Danio rerio: one gene and its partner. The protein of the gene in region 2 purifies or fractionates together with the protein of the main gene of each other region. This does not show direct contact. Links are inferred from orthologs where the notes say so. Each region holds a gene or a part of one and is shown on either strand. Other genes may lie near its edges. The genes, in order: phb and ndufs2.

Region 1 (11,596 bases), on a different chromosome or scaffold from region 2:
TTAAAACCATACAAAATCAGGTTAGAAATGTCTTATTTCATAGTGGATATTAAAAATTTTTTAATTTTGAACGCTACTGCTGAACGACATTTTTACAATTTGTATTACTGCAGTTAAACATTTTTATTACAACAAAAAAAAAAAGTAAAAAAAAAATCATGCTGTAATGCAACAGTTTGTCTACAAAGTGACATAACTTATTTGATAATTATAAAAGACTTTGACAGCTAAAGTCCCTGGGTTAAAAATGACAAACACACACAAATGAAAAGCGTAAACATTTAAACAAAACATGTTAAACAACATGTCTTAAATAAAAATTAATAATAATAAAAATAATAATAATAATTAAAAAAAAATAATAATCGCATTATGCCAGATCTAAATGGAAAAATGTATGAAAAAAACTGCATCTATTTGATCAAGAATAAAGAAAAAATAATAATATTGTAAAATATGTGATGTTTTCCTATGTATTACATTAAACTTTAAATCATATTAGTTAATATATTAATTTATATATTTTATGGATGAAGTTGAATTTATAAAAAATAACTCCACACTTCTGTCTCATGCAATCCTGCAGGGATCATTTAAATATGCTGATTGTCAACACACATCAACAGTTACGCTCCTTAATATTTTGTGGAAGCTGTGATATGATATTAAAGTCTTCTTTGATGAACAGAAAATCTATTTATATGGTTTTATAAGATGATTTTATTTTTATTCATTTTATTCTTTAAAATTATTAATCTTTTGACTCTCGATTAATTTCTATACATCTTTAATGAATAAAATCCCCCCTTTCTTTTAAAATCTGTTGCCGGTACCCACCACTACAGACTTCAGCACTTCAGTGGTGATGGAGGGCAGAACTCTCTCATCATAGTCCTCTCCGATACTGGTGAAAATGCGCGGCAGCTGTCCTGCAACCGGTCTGAACAGGATCCTCAGTGTGATGTTCACATTCTGCAAATCTGTCAAAGACAACGACAAACCATAAGCCAGTTTCCAATGTTTGATTAGTAAAGGTTAATGAAAACAGACTAAACATTTGAAAAATAACAATCATCATACTGACAAACAGATATTGGCTGTATCTGAAATATACCCTTATAGTGCGCTGTTTAAGGGAGCAGCCATTTCTAGTGGTGCCCAAAACCATAGAAAAATGTTCTGAAGTGCACCATATCAATCCCACAATGCACCACAATAACAAGTCTACAACCCATGTACACTCAACAGCTAGAAAATACCCAAAATGCACCATGAGAGCCAAATGAATTTCCATGTCTGACCACAACATGGCCTCCACAGTGGAATGGATGTAGGTTTCAAATTCTAATATTACTTAATTAAAATAACGATTATATACTTGACAGAAATTAAAATACTCTGTCTCATTACTAATAGGCTAAGTGTTAAAGAACTAAGTGTTATCACAGGGCCAGAACAAGAAGTTTAAAGACTAATCCATCTGAGGGATTTACCAACCAGCAAAGCACAAACAAGTGGACTATATTAGTGGACAGATGTAGGGAATAGTGCTTAAGGGGTGATTTAGGATAAAGCAATAGACAAACATAAGAGCAATCAGAAAAAGAGGATTGAAGTGAAGAGCTGAGCAGTTTGACGCACCTTTGCTACCGGTAATGACGGGTACGTTGCGTGGTCGAGACCTGCAGTCGAAGATGATTGGCTTCTGCACCCAGGGTATAAGGAAGTGTGTGCCTTCCCCAACAACAACATCCTGAACACCTCGAAACCTGTCAAAGATGACGGCCCTGTGTCCCGCATCCACTGCAATGTGAAACACAGGTCTGAACAACTGATACTACACACATTTGCAGTTCGGCCATAAATAACACATTTCAGTTACATAAAAGGTAAGTTACCCGTAATAAAAAAATTCAACCATCATTTATTTATCTACAATACAGCTGTTGCAAGACCGTTTGAGGAGGATATACTGAAGAAAGCAGCAGGAACTCGCAACAATAGCGGGACAATAAGTCAATTTTATCTGTTAACTCAAATGTGTTGTTAACAACCATTTAGTTCAGGGGTCGGCAACCCAAAATGTTGAAAGAGCCATATTGGACCAAAAAAAACAAAAAACAAATATGTTTGGAGCCGCAAAAAATGTAAAGCCTTATATAAGCCTTATAATGAAGGAAACACATGCTGTATCTATAGTAGCTATATTAGCTTACTATAAAAATGAGTAAGTTGGTTACAAATACATAATGAGCCTTCATGATTAAATAGCCACTGAAATCAGGTGGTTGGTGTTTATTTCGTTGTCATTTAAACACTTCAGCACAGCCTCTGGTCTTTCAGTGATATTAATTTGATCATTTCTTCTTGCGGCCCATCAGAGTTCATGCATAAAAGCGCATTGAATATCGGTCACATCACAGGCAATTGAGTATGCGGGCACTGAATTAATGTCCTTGGTTTGCTGATCGGTGATGTTACCTGCCATTTTAATAGCCCTTTCCTTCACTGTCTTAGCGGAGAGAGCGGTATATCTTTAATTTTTTTGTATTATCTGGGTTTTGTTTTTGAAATCTGCAAATAGGTGTTCTAATATGTTGATGAATGACTCCTTTATGTAGTCACCATCTGTGAACGGTTTTCCATGCTTTATTATCTCCCGGTTTGTTTACAACAGCCACCTGCCCGGCATCTTGCCCTGCTGATAGAAACCTGTGTCGCAGGCTATGACGCAAATCTTCGTTGACAGAAATGTTGAAATTAAATATTAATTCTACACACTTTTACAGCATTTGAAAACGTTAAAAATGTTTGTCCTCCAATAGAAATCATATTAAAACAAAAATATATACTAACCTTCCCCATCTTTTTGAACACTTTTGAAAAAACTTAAGGGAGCCACAAGGGCATCGCTAAAGAGCCGCATGTGGCTCTAGAGCCGCGGGTTGCTGACCCCTGATTTAGTTGAATGAAAGTCAGGTTTCAAACATGCAACGCTCCTCTATGACTCACCCCACTGACAAAGCTCCAGAATTTCTTTCCCCATACATGAGCTCATTTGTCCTATTTTGTCTGCTATGCCATTATAAATTGTGAAATAACCCATCTAAGAAAGCTTTAAGACCAAGCAAAATCTGACGCAAGTGAAGCCATCTTTCACTACTGACCTACTGTACTGTTGTTAAATAGAGAAAATATTTACAAGTAACTTTTAATCTAAATCCTGGACCTTATTTTTGAAAGAGCAGAAAAATAAAAAGACCAATAAAAAGGTGTTAAGCACCAAAAGTTCATTTTGAAGTCCCTGTGCATTTACTGTAGAAACACACAAACAACATAGCAGCGGGCAGAGAACTCATAGAGAAATGTTGTGCTTTATGAAATGAACAATAAAATAAAAATAAAAATAAAACGGCCACACAAGCACACCTGCTAAAAAAAAACAAAAAACAGCATGATTTAGAGTTCTCAGTCACACACACAGACACACAGACACACACAGACACACACACACACAGACACACACACAGACAGACACACAGACAGACAGACACACAGACAGACAGACACACACACACACACACACACAGACACACAGACACACAGACACACAGACACACAGACACACAGACACACAGACACACACACAGACACACACACAGACACACACAGACACACACACAGACACACACAGACACACACACACACACACACACACACACACACACACACACACGGGCTACATAAAGTGCAATTCGATAAATGTAATTTGATGAATGAAAAGTAAAATAAAAATTGACAAGCAAAATCTAGATGTTCCTCGACTTGGACAAAAAAATTTCCATGACTTTAAATATCTGAAATAAACATTTTAAAAATGAACTATTAAGATCCTTTTTTGCAGGATGAAAAATAAATATTGCTTTATAACCATTTTGAAACTGCCCCTTTTAGGCTTTGGTCCAAATTACGCCGCTTCTTTGTGACTGCCGCTTGAAATGTAAACTAGCTTTTGCTCTGTGCAAAGGCAGGTGGAGCTATAAATGTCAATGCGTCAGCATAGTGGCAGATTCATTAACAGTACTTAAGGAGATCTCTGTGAAAACTGAAAATGTGAAAGAAACGTCTCAAAAGAAGGCAGTCTATGGAGACTACAGTGTTCATTTGCGCATCTAAAACTTCACATTAATAGTGCCTTATAGTCAGTGTCATTATCTTCAGCAGGTGAACACTCTAAAGCCGCCTTTCCACTGCACATCACATTTGAACACGACTGTCGGAATACTCCCCCTTGTGGCAGTCGCACAGAACTTTCAGTTTTGTCGTGCACCATGGGAGAGAAGATGTTCTCACAGCGTCAGTAATAAAAGAGTGCAAAAGCAAGAGCCTTTACTCTCTGGGTGTCCACCATGGTTGAATGAATGAATCAACACTAGAAACTCAGACCGCTAAAAATGTTGGCGGGAATGTGGAAACAAACAAAAAAAAGTATTTTTATGACTCATTTATGAACAAAACATTTTTTAATATAGACTTTTTTCTGATTTAAGAAAAAAAAAAATCCTATTTCTCATCTCGCACGCACAGACCTGCCTGGACAACACTGAACTACATCACATGCGGTCGGTCGTATACGGTGTAGTCGCAGGAGTTCAAATATTTCCAACAGCAGCTCTGCAGCTCATATCGGATCCAAATTTTCCACATACGGAGAGAATCTGAACTCTACGCAGCTCCCGGACTACTCTCCATTGGAAATTCAACGTCTTCCAGTCTTTCGCTTGTCGTGTGCAGTGGAAGGGCGACTTAATGGCGAATGGCTGCTTCTCACTCAGGGCTGTTTATGCTAATGAGGCAGAGATCGTCACTAATGGACGGGCTTTCCCCCTCTGATGACAGGTACAATGTCAATCAAGGTGTTCATGCAGACTGTTTATCAAGTCTGATTATAATACTATTAATAAAACTATTGGATAATAATATAATATAATAAATAACTATAATAAAACTATTGTTTTACCATTACAAGCTGGTTATATTCACACACGGTTGCCACACAACTGCATTTAAACCACTTAGAAAACTGATATATGCACAAATGACCCCCTTTAAAACTCATGATATTCACAAAAATTCCAAGACCCATGGGAACTCTAAATATAGCAATATAAAGTTGCAATATTGTGCATTCCTATGACCTATCGACAGCCTCAATGTGGATAAAATTAACAACAAATTTAATTTGTTGCGTGTAAGCCCTTTAAATTGACCTTATTAGAATACTTATAGGAATTAAATGCTTTAACCATTGCTGCCATTGTTTTACAAAACACATCAGTAGTTATTACAACTCACCATTGTACAGAGCAGAGTTAACAACACCTCCTCCAATGGCCAAGGCCAATCCCAGCTTCCCAATGGACTCAAAGAGCTTCGCCATGACAACAAAGTGACAGTCCTGCGGGGAAAACACATTCATCTTCAGTATCTCATCATGGGTGATCTCTTGTGCATATAGAGCCCTTGGGTAATCAAACCAATGCTAGCCGGTTTAGCCTTGACTCTGACAGTGACACTGACATCAATGTAACGTGCTAATCTGATCTCACTCTAACCGGTCACTGGAAAAATCACAAGTAAAACTGCACAATATACACATATATACACCACTTAAAAACAATTGCTATTACAATAACACATGTGACACAGATTAACAGGCATTAATACAATCCGCAGTAGTGAACTTCACTCATTTATTAGCCTGCTACACGCTAATGATGCAACTGTCATGCAATAACGCCAACAAACACCCACACGTCGTGTTTATTTCACTTTCATACTGTCGCGTTATAATTACCGATGCTTTGTGAGTAAAACAAAAGCTTTAAGTTCGCATTTAAATGTAAGTCTCCTAAAACGTGAGCACTTACCCGCTGCGCTGAATGATCACAGTGACCTCCACCGGAGCCTGCGCAAGAAACACATGAGCAGGTGGAGCTTGCGCATGCGCAGAACAGTGTCAACATGAGTTTCTCCGATTGGATAGAGAGACACAAACCGAACGCCCTCTTGAGTAAGGAGGATTATTATTGGCGTACATCTCACGTTGCTTTAGAACGAGGTGGGTTCACTGCAATGCAATATGTGGGCGTTCCTTATTTCATTTTGTAATGACTTTAATTTATGTACTGTTATTGATACTTAAATGTCTTATGCTCAAGTTTATATCATGTTCTTTATTCATTTTTTCTTCTGTCTTTCTCTCTCTTATATTTTTTTATTGACAATGTAATTCATATTGCGTATTGTAAACAAATATTGCTACAAACTTGTCATGTGGGCGTTCTTTCGACTGCTTAAAGCTATAGTCCAACCACGTTCAAATACTGAAAATATGTTTTCAACATCGTTTAACACCTGTAACCATTGACTTCCATAGGAAAAACCAATAGTATGGAAGTCAATGGTTACCAGTTTCCAACATTTTTCAAAATAACTTATTTTGTGTTCAAAGAACGAAACACATTCATTTATTTTCTTTAGCTTAGTCCCTTTAAGGGTTGCCACAACAGAATGAACCGCCAACTTATCCAGCATATGTTTTACACAGTGGATGCCCTTCCAGCTGCAATCCATCACTGGGAAACACCCATACATACTCATTCACCTATACCACATGTTTTTGGGAGAAACTGGACCACCAAGGAGAAACCCACAACAACACGGGGAGAACATGCAAACTCCACACAGAAACGCCAACTGACCCAGCCAAGGCTCGAACCAGCAACCTTCTTGCTGTGAGGCAAATGTGCTACCCACTGCGCCACCGTGCAGTGAGCTTTTATTATTATTTTTATTTCATTGCTGTTGAAAGTGAGAGTGGTATAAAATTGCTACATTTTTCTACTGCAATTCCTGTACAGAGGCTTTACTACTAGTGTACCACATGCTGTATGAAAACAGAAAAGGACGTTTATTTATATAGCACTAATACCCCAAGATCATCAAGCATATCAAGACTCTTTGGATTCATCTTCAATGCCTCCTCCTCCATATTACCCCAGACATGCTCAATAATGTTCATCTCTGGTGGCTGGGCTGGCCATTCCAGGAGCACCTTGACCTTCTTTGCTTTCAGGATCTTTGATGTGGAGGCTGAAGTATGAGAAGGAGCGCTATCCTGTTGAACAATTTGCCTTCTCCTGTGGTTGGTAATGTAACGAGCAGCACAAATGTCTTGATACCTCAGGTTGTTGATGTTGCCATCCATCTCTTGCATGCCTCCACACTGAATGTAACCAAACCATGATTTTTTCTTAACCAAACTTGACTGATTTCTGTGAGAATCGTGGGTCTTTGTGGGTTCCAGTAGGTCTTCTGCAGTGTTTGTGATGATTGGGATGCAGCTCAACAGATGATTCATCTGAAAAACTACCTTCTGACACTTTTCCAAATGATCTACTAAAAGTCAACTAAATAAATTATTTGTTGCTTTTACAACTGGGATCAATGACAAGACTTTTGTGAGGTAGTGTAGGCCTGTGCTAATTAACCGCAGATTAACTATCTTTATATATAATAACTTTAATTAAGTAATATCTCTAAAAGTTAAAGTTATTAGTAACTAATAAAGTTAGCGCACTTAATAAACTTTTCTGATTTTGATTGTAATGCATCAAAGCCATCAAGTTACTTCTAATTGTGGTAAAAGCCACTGTAATACAGTGTATACAAGTTGAACATGGTATGTAGGTGAACCAAGTAGCCTATCTGAACATGGTGAACGACCCCTTTAAATTATAATGCTACTTCAAAACAAGGCAACATGTAGACATGCTATTATCCAGAATATGACTGTACACCCCCTACTACAGTAAGGCATGTGATGCAGTGATTACGGAAAGTCCTTCTTCAACCAGACATCTACACCCTCCTCCTCTTTTCCAGGACGACACACCCACCAGAAGCGAGTTATTATAACGCAGTGCGCAGGCTTTATGCAGTGCAGCTGTCTGTAAACTGACGGACACAAGCCCGCAGTTTTAAGGACGCATTCTTCTGAATCGGTAAGTCTCGATTATTTGTTTATTTGGCATTTGTCGGATCACGTTATAACTTTGAGCTATTTTAGGACAACTATAGTTAGCTAGCTGTGAATGTCTGCGAATGAGTCATGATGATGATGATGATGATGATGATGCGCGAATGAAACTTTATAGCAAAAGTAAACAAACGAATTACTAAATGACATTAGTTCAGGATTCATTCTCCGAATAAAATGTCGTACAGCATGATTGTGATCTTCATCACAATCAAATCAAATAAACAGCTCCTCAGTAATTGAAGCGCTTTACTGTTCTGCCCCGGTTACCTCAGGCTGTTATTTATTTAGGCTGTATCGTGGTGTTCCTGTATTTACAACAGATCGTGAAAAGGCAATTCTTGGATTTCCGCGTTCATCGCCGTTCACTATCGTGTTTTACGATTGGTTCACCTGGCCACTGACGTCACAGCGCACGGAAGATTTAATCAATTGATTGATGTTTGTTTTTATGGGTGTTGCTGAGAGATTGAACTTCTAACATGCAGCTTTACATACCATACACTAAATATACCAGGTCTTACAGAAATGAAGATACGTTGATGCTTTTCCCAAATGTAGCCATAGTTAATAGTTAATTAAACACATTGTTGTTATGTTTATTTGGTCATTTTTGTCAGATACTGTCTTAAGATGGTAAATGCATTTGGTAAATGCCATTAAAATGTCTCAGTGGTATACAGTAGACTTTTAAATAAATTAATTAACTAATTTATTCTGTATATATATATATATATATATATATATATATATATATATATATATATATATATATATATATATATATCAGGGTGTCCACAAGGTCTTAAAATGTCTTAACTCTCAAAAACTAACTTTAGGCCTTAAAAAGTCTTACATTGACCTTAATATTGTGTTGTAGGTCTTAAATTATGTTAATCATGTCTTAATTTTCCTACTGTATGTCCAAGTACAGCGAATCAATCACTGACAATCCATCTTAAAGCTATACTTGTTTTTATTTAAGATATACAAGTCACAACAGCTGTTAGACATGTTTACAGCAAATTCTCCTAATTGAATTCCTTAAGCAGGGAAAGAGTACTAAAGCAACATATCCCTTAACATAATCTTCCATTAATATAAAAACTATTTACTGAAGTAACTGGGCCAAATCCTTAGTGTTTAGCCCTGTATAAGTCAAAAATTACATTCATAATGGTCTAAAAGTTCCTTAAGTCTTTAATTTGACTTAAAGAAACCTGCAGAAACCCTGATATATATTCATTCATTCATTCATTCATTCATTTTCTTTTCGGCTTCGTACCTTTATTAATCAGGGGTCGCCACAGTGGAATGAACCGTCATATATATATATATATATATATATATATATATATATATATATATATATATTTCTTTCTAAATTTCAATAGAATAGATTTTCCTAAATTAGTTAAGTGGTAGATTGATCTTGTTATATCTAATGCAAAAAGATTAGGGCTCCGCCAATTGACATGAATAATAAGATACACTACGGGTCAAAAGTTTGGGGTCAGCAGGATTTTTAAATGTTTTAAAATAAGCTTATCCTGCCCACCAAGGCTGCATTTATTTAATCAAAATACAGTTCAAATTGTAAAATTGTGAATGTTATTGCACTGTAAAATTACTGTTCAAAAGTAGTTTATAATTTAGTTTAAAGTTATTTTTAAGATGAATTTTCAGCTTCATTTCTGCAGTCTTCAGAGACTGAAAGTAAAAATCACTCTAATAAAAAAAATAAAAAATAAAAATAATAATAATTATTATTATTATTATTAATGCTAATAGTAATAAAATCAATAATGACTGGAGTAATAACTATATTATTTAAAATTATATTGTTATTTAAAATTGTCATTAATTTTAAACAATTTTTTACATTTAATAAATGCCACCTTGACGAACAGAATAATTTTAATAATAAGAATTGATGAACAGAATAATAACCCCAAACTTTTGAGCGGTAGTCTATATATTTTTTTTTCATAAAAATAAAGCAGTGATGTCCATTATAATGCATAAAGAGTCTAAAATATTTATCATGAGATTACCCTTCTTTAATGAGCCATTAGATAACATTGCATCACTTTATTTGCGAACTTCATTCTTACCTGATATCTTTATTTTAGGGAGTGTTGATAGTGTTGTGCAACATTTTAAAAAAAGGGTGTAGGAATTGTGTGGGTGTTCGTAAAAAGAGCCTTGAATGACACAGACAACGTTGCAGCCTAAAACCAATCGCTTCAAATTGATCAAATCAGGAACTAATCAACATATAATCAGCTATAATCTCAGTATTGAAAGACCACAAGCTAAACTGTCATCTCGACACAGCAGCGTTATCATGAAATAGCCCTAAAGAGATAAGAAACTGAGGTGTGTTCACTCATTAAACTTGCTGATGTTAACATTATGGACTTTTTTGTGCATAATACAAACTGGCATACACTGCTAAGGCGCTGTAAGTCTGTAGAGCAAATACAAACTCTCATAAACATTTAGTGTAACACGTGATCCCCCATATAGAAATACAACACATGGAAATATATGCAAATTACATATATGACATAGAATTTTTCTATTTGTTTGCAAATGATGTTTAACAGAGGAAGGAATTTTTCACAGTATATCCTATAATATTTTTTCTTCTGAAGAAAGTCTTATTTGTTTTATTTAGGCTAGAATAAAAGCAGCGTCTAATTTAAAAAAAAACATTTTAGGGTCAAAATTATTAGCCCCCTTAAGCAATATATTTTTCAGTTGCCTACAGAACAAACTATTCTTATACAATGACTTGCCTAATTACCCTAACGTGCCTAATAACCTTGTTAAGCCTGAAAGAGTCATCATTTAATGCATTTTGCTCACTAATCTGCATGTTTCTGAATTAGGCTGTGTGACGAATGCCCGTAGGAAGAAACATGGACGCTGATCACCTGCTCGGAGCCTCAATCATCAGGATCCCACCTCACCACTACATCCATGTCCTGGATCAGAACACCAATATTGCACGGGTGGAGATCGGCCCTCTCACCTACATACGTCAGGACAATGAGAGGTAATCTGAAAGACTGCAGGTTTACTACTGCATTGTGTAATAGCCCTTGAAATACAGGTTCTTACTGGTCTTAGCATTTACGGTTGATCTGTGTAGATTTTCACTCCATTTGGATGGCACTATTATATTGTCTTTGGGCCATTTGTTCATTAGTATATCCTGTTTTCTTTGTTGCCGGGATACATTGTGTAGTCAAGAATCTAGAATCCAAGCAACAGTTGATATGAAGGATTTATGAATGGTGTTCAGGTCAATGTTGAATGTTTCATATATTTACTTTTAGTATCTGAGACTGATGCAGATTTTTCCGTTTGTTGTTTTTTCTTAACAAAAAATCTTCCCTAAAAAGGCAAGAGATCAACACTTTATAGTGTGGAGCTGAGAAAAATGCCTTTTTTTTCAACATTTATAGTTGTCCGTCCAAATTATTTACA
Region 2 (11,479 bases):
TTTGCACTACTGGGGAACCATTCTACGAAGCAAGCACTATTTAAAAAAAAAAACACATATAGCCTAGCTGAAGAAATGCTGCAGTTTAAAAATATTTAGATCTCTTCCTTTCATCTGTGCATACATTCACATACATGCATGCATACTCTACACATTTTAACTGTTATTGTGTACAATTGTGCACTGCATGCAATTCCATGACATTTAATGAACGTAAACACAGTCTGTCTTTACTGTTGTGTGTGTATATATCAATATAACATTTCAAAAATATGTCAAAATGAAAAACAATAACTTTTAGCTTGAATATATTTTTGCATGACTTCAATAGCCACTATGAGAACAACAGTGGATAACTGACCTAAGATTTTGGAAACAAATTTCAATACTTGTGGTTTGTGTGGTTGTGAAGTGCTCCCTTCTTGCAGATATGATAGCTCAATAGTAGTGATATTTAGCTTTTATACAGTCAAGTCTGAAATTATTTACACACTTGGCAAACTCTGACTTAAAGTTTTTGTTCAAATGTAAATAAAAGCTGAGAAATAATTTTTCCCCCAAAATGATGCCTCTTGTACATCGTCTTATTATCTTTAGGGAGAAGCCGGGGTCATTTCTGGTCACAAAAAAAGAAAAACTTGCTGGTTAAATAAAAGTTACTTTAAGCCAGAATTTGCAGGTGTATGAATTATTTCAAGCTTGACTGTATATATTGTTAGTCATATTTACATTATATTTAGCTTTTCTATCAGCTAATTTTTTTTAATAACCAGTTTTTGTAGTGGTCATTTTGAAGCCAAATGTATTTAAAAATGTATAGTGCTGAATTGTTAGCCTTGGTTAATAGGTACAGTTTGGTTAACTGCATTTGACTTAAGTGGATGAGCATGAAATAAAGAAATGGATGCTGATAAATAGCAGAACCATAACAATAGGTGTGAAACAATGGAAAAGAAATGATATATTAGGGATGCTCATATTGACTATTTATTCATTAATGGCCCAGTATGTTCTGTATACCGTTGTTTGCATGTTATAATAAATCAATATATTAAAAATGCAATATTTAATGTGTCAGACACAAAATAGACAAGTCATCTCTATGTTTTTTTCATTATTAAATGGTAACTAAATATTAATCTGAATAAATTTATTTCTTTATAACTTTATATTAATTGTTTGGATACAGAGTAGCAGTTGTCAGTTGGGAAAATGAACCATAACGAGAATCCCTAATATATATATACATTGATAAATGCAAACTAAAATTTAAAGTCACAAACAAAATTGGACTTTGGCAAACAAATAAAAAAATTCCCTGACTTTAAATGTCTGGAATAAACCTTTTAAATCCCATGATATTCCATAAATTCCTTGACCCATGGGACACTGTAGTACAGTGTTTCTCAGCCACATTCCTGGAGAACCACCAGCTCTGCACATTTACCATGACTCTCTCTCAACTACAAGAACAGAGAACGGACTCATGTTCTTATGCAGATCAGTCTTGCAAGGTCACCTTGGATGAACGAACTCAGGAGACCACGAGGACACAGAAGGCATCCTGTGAGAGAAGCTGTTGACCTTCATGCATTTATAACGAAGAACTATTCAAACATTACAGCATTCATACAATGCGTTTATGTTTTTTTCCCTTTTCAAATTTATGTATAACATGCACAAAAACCTTACAAATATACGTTGCACAATACAAATAAAACAGATTTTAATACCAATTTCAGCAAATAAACAACCTTATTGTGTTTAAGCCTCTACTATCATGTTCATGTTTACTTTCACCTTCTCATTTAGGGAAATTACTGACATAAATAAGTTATATATATCTGAACTTGATTAATAAATCTAAATAAAATGCTGCACTTCCCACTTCCTTTAACCCATCGCAATGATTTTTGGGAATTCTCTATTGAACTCAGTGCTCAAGTCTGCATCGATGTGTCCTCTATCAAGAACATATCTGGGAGCTTTCACGCGTCCTCCATACTTGCGGTCTTGAGCTTTGGAACTTAACTTTGGCTGTTGATGATGATGTTACACGAGACTACGAGGATGCAAGATCGCTGAAGAACGCATATTAAGAAACAGCCATGTGTCCTTAACCAAACACACCTGATTCAGATCATCAGCTCATTAGTAGAGACTGAGGGTGTACTCACACTATGCTATCCGAACCATGCCCAGGCCAGTTTCCCAGTTCGTTTGAGAAGTGAGAGTGCTCTGAATCGGGCTCAGGCATGATTCAGTTGGCTGGCCCTTGCCCAGTTAGAAGAGGTGTGCAAAAGTGCGGTTCACTTGAGCTATGGCGTGGTATGCTTGAAGTGTAAGGCCCCGTTTACACTAATGCGTTTTAGTTTGAAAACGCATAAGTTTTGCTACGGTTACGCCAACCGTCCACACTACGCCGGAGTTCTCGAGCGCCGAAAACGGAGCGTTTCGAAAACGCTGGAGAGGCCGTTTTCATTTTGAAACGCTGCTGCTCCGTCTCAGTGTGGATGATGGAAAACGGAGACATCTGAAAACGGAGGCGGGGCTGCAGACGTTCGCCTCTCTGATTGGGGCTTTTCCTGAATATTAAGTAGCCTAACACACAGTTCAGTCCTGAATCTTCTCCGTGTAAGTTCAGACTTCGCAAGTTTGATCAAGGCTGCAGTCTCTTCTTCTCAGTTTGATATGGAAAAGCAGACTATACCGAGGACACGGGTAAATCTTCAAAGGGAACAGTGTACTTTATAACTTCATTCACATCACCCTGGCTTCGTTGTTTCACTTTCTCAACAATAAAATGTAAACATGATTTAAGGAACTGCCTATTTTCATTTTAATATTAGCAACTTAGACAGCAGACATGTTGAGGCGCCGTGCTGTATAAGATGAGCGTCATCTTCACTGTCTGGATATTTATAACAAAACGGAGCCGATAACAACTGCCTCCTTTCAATTTCAGTGAAAATACGAAACATCCCCTCTCTTTTGCTGAGTATCAGTTTTAAGAATCGATAATGGCCATTTTAAAAGTATAACATACAATAAGTTTATACATTATAGGAAATAAAGGCAAGCGATAAGTCAATATACAGAATGTACGTGGTTACATTAATCATTAACTTATCTTTGCGCTCTGCCAAAACACGTTACCTGAGAACAAGTAATAGATTCCAATGCCCAAAGTCAGGGAATATGTCGTTAGCTAAAGACAACAAGATGAATGAAATATCCCGTTTAATAAATATAGTGAGATTAGATCCAGCGGGAGATGCTTGATGAGAAGTCCGACTAGCAGAGCTCTCATCTGGGTAGATGGGCTGCAGCGCTTGCCCGAGAGCGTCTGTGTGGTCACGTGATGTGCGTTTTCAGCGTTTTGGTGTGGACGGAGAGCAGTTCAGAAACGCTGGGTAAAACGCGAGTGTGGACGCGGATAGTTTTCATTCTAAAACGCCGTTTCAAAACTAAAACGTACTAGTGTAAACGGGGCCTAAGAGCAAATTGAGCCTGAGCCTGAAATTGAAGACAAGACGTGACTTTAATGGACTGTTTCATATCGATTTATTAATCATTCTTACTTTTCAATGAACACAAACTGCCATAGATTATTAAAGACACAAACCCCCCACTGCACGACAGCTGCACCTTTAGCAAACCTCCTAATTCCTGCAGCACAAGGACTTTATGATTATTTATGAGCGTCAAAAGTGGCGGATCTGTTCGGCAAAATATCTAACTGTGTGTCACTGCATCCCAAACGACTAAAATGATATAACTAAAGAAATCTCCACTGTGCCGAGCGACAGCGCTTCTCTTCTGTTAAACTGAACAGCGCATCATTGATGAAGTAAGCGTGCTCATGCCCAAATGCAATATGAGTGCGGGCCATCGGGGGAGACAGGAGAGGGGACAAGCGTGCTTTGGCCCGGTTTAAGGCAACTGTACATGGTGTGAGTACGCCCTAAAAGACCTGAAATGGGTGTGACAAATAAAGGTGACATCTAAAACATGCAGTGTTGGTGGTCCTCCAGCAACATGGCTTTTTGAGAAACAATGCTGTAGTAAACTTTTGTTTTATTTAATAATAACAACAAAATAATAATAATAATAATGCAAGTATAAAAAAATACAATAAAAACTAGCAAACAAAAAAGTTGCATCACATGAGATATGCTCTATTATTTTGTACCTGTAAGTAAGTCTTGTACTCTATCAATTTCTCCGTGCCGCGGTGCAGGAGGCCGATGTGAGGGTCGCATTTCTTCACAGACTCTCCGCTGAGCTCCATCACCAAGCGCAGCACTCCATGAGCTGCAGGGTGCTGAGGCCCGAAGTTGATGGTGAGGTTGGACAAATCCTTCTGTGCTGGTGGATCCTTATCTGAAATGAAAAAATAACTTTGATGTTCTTTTCTCTCCAGAATGCTTATTTAATATGGAATTTACAAGGCTAAAATCAAACCAACCATTCCAAGGTGGAGGTGTCCATTTGGCAACGGAGGGAGAGGGATACATCACCACTCCAGAGAACTGCTCCACCCACTCCACATCTGGCTGCCATTGCTTCTGCCTGAATTGAAAGAGAGTTGTTTTAAGTTTATTCACTTTTCTACAATTATTAAAATATTTTAACAATACTAAGTCATCAACAGCAATAAACAATACACAAGATAAAATACATTAATAATAATATATAAGATTAAAATCTAAAACAGATTGTTTACTCTTGATGAATTGTAAACATTTGGAAATTTAAAAATATTTCATTTAAAGTCTAAGCAGATAAAAATCAATGTCTAATAACATTAAAATAGTGCAGTTTTTATTGCCTTTGCTACTTTATTAGCAAGGAAAAGAATATTACTTGAGTGGAAATCTAAAAAACCCAACTAATGCTTCAATGTGAATGTGTGATCTGTTTTTATATTTAAAATGAGAGAAAATTAAATAACTAATGAAGGGAATTTTATGAGATATGGCAACCTATGATCACATACTTTGAAAAAAAAAGAAGACTCTCTCCTTTAACTGATCTATATAAAGAAATTTGTATTAAACAGGTTTAAATGTGATCACAAATATTATTTGACTCCAACCGCATGTAGAAGACCACCATAAACGTCATATTGTTTATTTGTATTATCATGTAGGTATTAATTTATCTGAATTATTTTTACAATTGATATTGTCTATCTAACTGCAAATGTAAACAATACTGCAAAGGTTTTTTTTCTTTTCTCTGTGTTTTAATTTTATTTTTATTTGAATTTAACTTGTTTGTTAATTTATTTCGTCGACAAGGGTTATCATGGAAAAAAAATACAACCTTGATTGTACAAAATGTTTTGGTAAAACTTAGGAAGAAAAAAAACAAATAAAAATAGATAGATTAAAATTAATTTTAAGCATCTTCTTTAAAAAACGTGTCCAAATACTTCTATATTACTTGTTGGAAAATAGTGCTTGTGCTGTCTTACAACTGTACAAATATAAGTGCATTTGCATTGGATGAACAATTCTTAAATCAAGTGTTTTTGTTTTACATTTTCACATTTACATTTTTTCATTAAAGTAAACTAAAAACTTTTAATGTATTTTTTAAATCCAACAAACAAAAAAAGGTCATTAAAATTAAATAATAAAAACACTTTTAGGGAGCACAATACATCAATACCATCTCTAAATGTCCATTTTTTTTGAGCAGACAATGATCTGTATATACAACTTAGTTCATACTGACCTCCATTACTAATTTATTTTATTTCATCATTGCCATACATTCTAATTACAATGGGGGAAAAAAGAATGTTCTAAATCTATATAAATTACTTCTAAATTATATTCTAAAAAAGAAACGTTCCTTTGATTTCCATGATGAATGACTTAAAACATTTGAATCTACTTGGGAAGCAAAATTATTAAAAATATATGTATTTTGAAACGATATGAGAATCGAGAATATAATTGAGGTAAAGTTGTTTTTTTTAATCACACATTCGGACTCTATATTGTTTACCTCAGTACTTTTGAATAAACAGTCTGAAATCATATGCAAGTATGACTTTGATACAACATTAGCACTATTTAATAGACTGTAAACACTGTTGTCCTTTGATAGTTATGGACTGCTAATATGATTTCTCTATTTAGACTTGACAATAGTTTTTTGAAGTTATAGTATTGAATATTATTGTATATGTGAATATAAAACCAAATGTACCTTAATAAGAAGATATACACTTTATATCCATAATGAAATCAATAAAACCCTCTTGCTTTGAAAACTTCAACTAAGACTTTTGTGTCGCTATTTTTGTGGGTCATTTTACCTACAAATATTGGTGAAGATTGCAAATTGCAAAACATAAAAAAAAACAATTGTGCCATTAAGAAAACCTCAGAGTCATGATTTATCAGAGATATCAAATGTGATTATTTTGTAACTGCTCATGTTTCATAACGGCTAACGTTAGCTTCAAGCTTGTTTTTTCCCACAGCTGAACGCAAGAATGGCAAAAGGGAAAACGACGTTTAATAATAATAGAATAATACGTATGTAAACAGGTCAAGTTTGCAATATTGCACATTAGCATGCTTTTCAAAACAATCTAAGTCGCAGAAATACCGGTGGCTAAACCATAACAACAACATCACCACAAGCAAGCCGCTGCTTCACCAAACCAATGGTAAAATTGCAGTGTGTTATTGACCGTGCTGTTCGTACCTCGTCTGAATCAGAGCACAGGCTGGAGAGCTGACATTACTGTTTAATAAAACTGAAGGACGTCCGAGTCTAGAGAGCGACCTCAGCATTGTAGCCGCCATCTTCCCTTCTGTCAGCGCTCTGCTTCTGTGCTGAGAGCTTCACGGCCGCTCTTTCACTGGGGCTCTGGCGTCACCCGCCGGCAGGAGGTTTACACCGCAGCTTCCAATCCAAGACTCATCCAAGAGCCACTAGATGTCAGTCGACTCTCGAGTTTGTTTTTAAGTTAGGAATGCCTGGTGCAGTTGATGAAGCGAATTTTTAAACTTCACATTGGCGAATATTTCTAAAAAATCAAATAATTTGACAAAACATGGAGCTAGCTCAATCACATTAATATTTTTTATTATTATTGCTGGAGACTAAGAGTGATGGGGTTTCTTCTGGATCCTAGACTTTATACATCCAAAATGTCATCACTAAAGGTATGTTTGAGCAGCACCCTGTACTTTACTGATGGGAATTTTTCATCATTCAACCAAAGGTATATACATTTTATATTCATATTATATAATATCTGTGTGGGCTGTACAGAAGCCCAGTGGTTAGCACTGTCACCTCACAGCAAGGAGGTCGCTGGTATGAGTCCCGGCTGGGGGGTTGGCATTTCTGTGTGGAGTTTGCATGTTTTCCCCGTGTTTGTATGTGTTTCCTCCGGGTGCTCCGGTTTACCCCTACAGCCCAAAGACGTGCGGTGTAATAATAATAATAATAATAATAATAATAATAATTAACAATTCCTTACATTTTTATAGCGCTTTTCTGGACACTCAAAGCACTTTACACAATGGGGGAATCTCCTCATCCACCTCCAGTGTGCAGCATCCACCTGGATGATGCGACATCAGCAATGTTGCGCCAGACCGCACCAGCTGATTGGTGGAGAGGAGACAGAGTGATGAAGCCAATTATAGTATGGGGATGATTAGGAGGCCATGATAGACACAGGCCAGTGGGGAAATTTGGCCAGGATGCTGGGGTTAAACCCCTACTTTTTATCGAAGGACATCCTGGGATTTTTAACAGATTTCCACGTCTTCCAGGTTTAATGTCTCATCCGAAAAACAGTGCTCACTGAGCAGCAAAGAGTCTCCATCAATATACTGGGGTTTTAGGACCCAGACAGACCGCAGGTTGAGCACCTCCTGCTGGCCTCACAAACACCAATTTCGGTTTTTCAGATTTTTTAAACTATCTAACAAGCAAACTAACTAACTAGCTAGCTAACTAACTAAATAACTAACTAACTAACTAACTAACTAACTACAATCATGGACCCAAGATACTCACAGAAATCAGTCCAGTTTGGTGAAGGAAAAATCACGGTTTGGGAAACAGAAAACTAACACATTCAGTATGGGGGCATGCGAGAGATCTGCAGAGTGGATGGCAACATCATCAGCCTGAGCTATCAAGACATTTGAGCTGCCCATTACATTACAAACCACAGGAGAGGGCTAATTCTTCAGCAGGATAGCGCTCCTTCTCATACTTCAGCTTTCACGTCAAAGTTCCTGAAAGCAAAGAAAGTCAAGGTGCTCCAGGATTGGCCTGCCCAGTCACCAGACATGAACATTATTGAGCATGTCTGGGGTAAGATGGAGGCATTGAAGATGAATCCACAGAATCTTGGTGAACTCTGTGAGTCCTGCAAGAACGCTTCCTTTGTCATTCCAGATGACTTTATTAATAAGTTATTTGAGTCATTGCAGAGATGTATGGATGCAGTCCTCCAAGCTCATGGGAGTCATACACAATATTCATTCTTTATCCACTGCACCATGATGTTATATTCTATACTGTACATTATTTTTTTTTGTCTAAGCAAAGTCAGACCTTACCGTCCTAATTAAAGAATTAAAAATCAAGGCATGATTATATTTTATTTTGATAAAATAAGCGTAATCTAGAGGCCTTTGCCTTTCAATTAAGCCACTTCTGATACCAAATGATCAACTAGAAGTCAAGTTATTATTTGCTTGAATACTCGACTTTTAAAACTTTTATCAGGTAGTGTACATGCAAAGTATCAGTCACACATTCAATACGTCACTGATTCTTAGAAAAACAGTGCTTTTATTTCTGATATACTGTGAAAAAATAATTACGTAACATTTTTAAAAAATATTGGAAAAAAATCAATGAGAAATAAAAAAAAAGTCAATAACTTTTTTGTTGTACATCTGTCAAACATTGTTTTTTCAGCTACCAAGAAACAGTACAGTAAGGTCAACGTTTATCTTCTAAGACACAATTATACAGGATACACTCCTACCAGCAGAAGAAAAAGTATTGGAGCAGGAACGTGAGAGAAGTAAATGAACGGATTACATAAAGATTTTCATATCCTCACACTCACGCTCAGTCGCACGCACAAAAACACAAGCATACCGTTGTCTACACACACTCCTCTGGCCTTAAGCCGCTTTATAAAGTGAGGGAATATAAAAGTCATGTTTTCCTAAGGCCACTCTTTAGTTTGTTCACTCCTTCATATGTTCCTTCTTCTTGACTTTGTGGAGCTTCAAGTTCGTAGACGGCAAAAGGGGAATGCAAATACTGTCCAACAAAATGGTCCCCCGCCATCGAGATAAAGGATGAGTGATTGGCAGCTCAAGTAGGTCATCAAGGTGTTTTCCCGAACGCTTTTAATAGCATCGTACCAGCTCGTACTCTTCGTAAGTACTGTACCATCGCTTACTTTCTTCACGCAATTGAAAAACAGAACAATACTGCATTTAAAGAGTGCATCACATTGGATGTTGTAAAATAATACTTGAAGTCGGAATTACACATGGGAAAGTATTTACAGGGCTCGTTGGAAATGTGGACGAAGACCAAAACGAGTGTCTCGCTGTTCCGAGGGATTGTCTTCATCCTCAGGTTTCTCATTGCTTTGATAACGCCATCCTTCAAACCCCGTTGAAGACAGTTTGTTTGCTTTTGTCTCAAAGCCAAAGACCGTTTCTGGTCTCCGAAAGGTAGTTTTTTTTTTTTTTTTTTCAAAATTGGTGTAAAATACTTCAAGTTAGTCGTCTGTGTTTGGCACAAATATCAGGTGTGTGTCTGTGTGAATAAGTGAGTGAAAGACTCTCCGATCTCCAACTACACATCAAAGTCCGTAATAGTGTTTTCGAGATGTTTATAAAACCACTTCAGACCTTAAAGAAATAGCTCATCTAAAATTCTCATTTTGATTTACTCACCTGTAGGACAAGTAAGATGTAGGTGCCCTTTTTTTTTAGTAGAATATTAAAGAAGAGTTTTAAGGCTGATTTATATTTCTGCGTGAAGCGCACGTGTATGCTCGGACATGGCCTTCAATGCGGTCGGATACCCCTCGCCGTGGCTCACGCTGATGCACACCTCTCAAAAGTTGAACTACATGTCGTATTGACGTGTAGCGCAAACTCTATGATTGGTCGGTTTGGTTGCTGTGATGAGTGTGGGCGGTGCTAAGAGCCGCGAACCCGATGGAGCGAGTGCTTACAAGTGGCAAGTCCCGTGAAGGAGCTCCAGATGGAAACTGTTGTTTTATGTTTACCTAATGATTAAAGTTGTTGCATGTCCACTGGCTCCCGCCTCTAAATGAGCACGTTTTAGCTACTTGTAGCGTTCAGGAAAAGCAAAACCCCCGTGAAGAAACTCGACACAGACGAACATAAACACCTACTGCCAGCTAGCATTTTGTAAGTGCTTTTGCAGAGTAACACAAACAGCACGCAGAAGTATAACTGCGACTAGGCACAAGGCAGGCACCGTGGGTCACGATGATCACTTGATGCAGAAGTATAAATCAGCCTTCAGCTGAAACTGTGGTCTTTAAGGCTGGTTTATATTTTTCTGCGTCAAGTGATCGTCGTGACCCACGGTGCCTGCCTTGCGTCTAGTTGTGCGTTTATACTTCTGCGTGCTGTTTGTGGTACTCTGCAATAGCACTTACAAAATGCTAGCTGGCAGTAGGTGTTTATGTTTGTCTTTGTCGAGTTTTTTCATGGGGGTTTTGCTTTTTATGAACACTACAAGTAGCTAAAACGTGCTCATTTAGAGGCGGGAGCCAGTGGACAAGCAACAACTTTAATAAAACAACAACAGTTTCCATTAGGATCTCCTTCACAGGACAAAACACTTGTAAACACTCGCTCCAACGGGTTCACGCAACTCTCGGCCCCGCCCACACTGGTCACAGCTACCAAGCTGACCAATCACAGAGCTTGCGCTATGCGACCGCGCAAAGGCTGCACCAAACCATACGTGTTCGCTTGATGCAGAGGTATAAATCAGTGTTTAGTGATTCATATAATGGAAGTCAATGTCTGTTAACACTTTTAGAATAAAATAAAAACATATACAAGATTTTAAAAAAAAAGTCTGTAATGAAGACTTCCTGTTACATAATGAAGTATAATGCGTTTTGGGTGTTTGTAAAGTCAATGTTTTCCAATGAGATTGCACATTGGAATAAAATATTCCCAGAAGGGACCTTGATGTCAAAATGACATGTAAAACATATCAAAAAACACATTAAAAATGAAAATGGAATTGATGTCAAGTGACTACCTTGATGTGAAAATGACATCAAATTCACATCTAACATTTGCGCTAAAAAACATGTCAAAAATCAGTTACAGGACTGCCTTGTTTTTGACCTGTTTTTGATGCCAATATTTATAAATGTCAATTTGATGTCATTTTAATATCAAGGTAGCTTACA

Evidence for each region.
Region 1: the proteins of ndufs2 (region 2) and phb purify together in Homo sapiens (affinity purification with mass spectrometry; 3 studies listed by BioGRID and IntAct, with this or other methods). This does not show direct contact. The link is inferred for Danio rerio from reciprocal best matches to the Homo sapiens genes NDUFS2 and PHB1.

Annotation. Positions count from the first base shown.
Region 1 is NC_133178.1:14,396,690-14,408,285, reverse strand, and holds the start of phb (prohibitin 1), read right to left. Parts: upstream 5,957-11,596; 5' UTR 5,931-5,956; intron 5,459-5,930; 5' UTR 5,441-5,458; coding exon 5,356-5,440; intron 1,804-5,355; coding exon 1,642-1,803; intron 981-1,641; coding exon 838-980; intron 1-837. Other genes in the region: mvp (major vault protein), read left to right, coding at 11,008-11,162.
Region 2 is NC_133182.1:19,053,726-19,065,204, forward strand, and holds the start of ndufs2 (NADH dehydrogenase [ubiquinone] iron-sulfur protein 2, mitochondrial), read right to left. Parts: upstream 6,898-11,479; 5' UTR 6,828-6,897; coding exon 6,727-6,827; intron 4,573-6,726; coding exon 4,469-4,572; intron 4,384-4,468; coding exon 4,193-4,383; intron 1-4,192. UniProt on the Homo sapiens protein: Core subunit of the mitochondrial membrane respiratory chain NADH dehydrogenase (Complex I) which catalyzes electron transfer from NADH through the respiratory chain, using ubiquinone as an electron acceptor. Essential for the catalytic activity of complex I.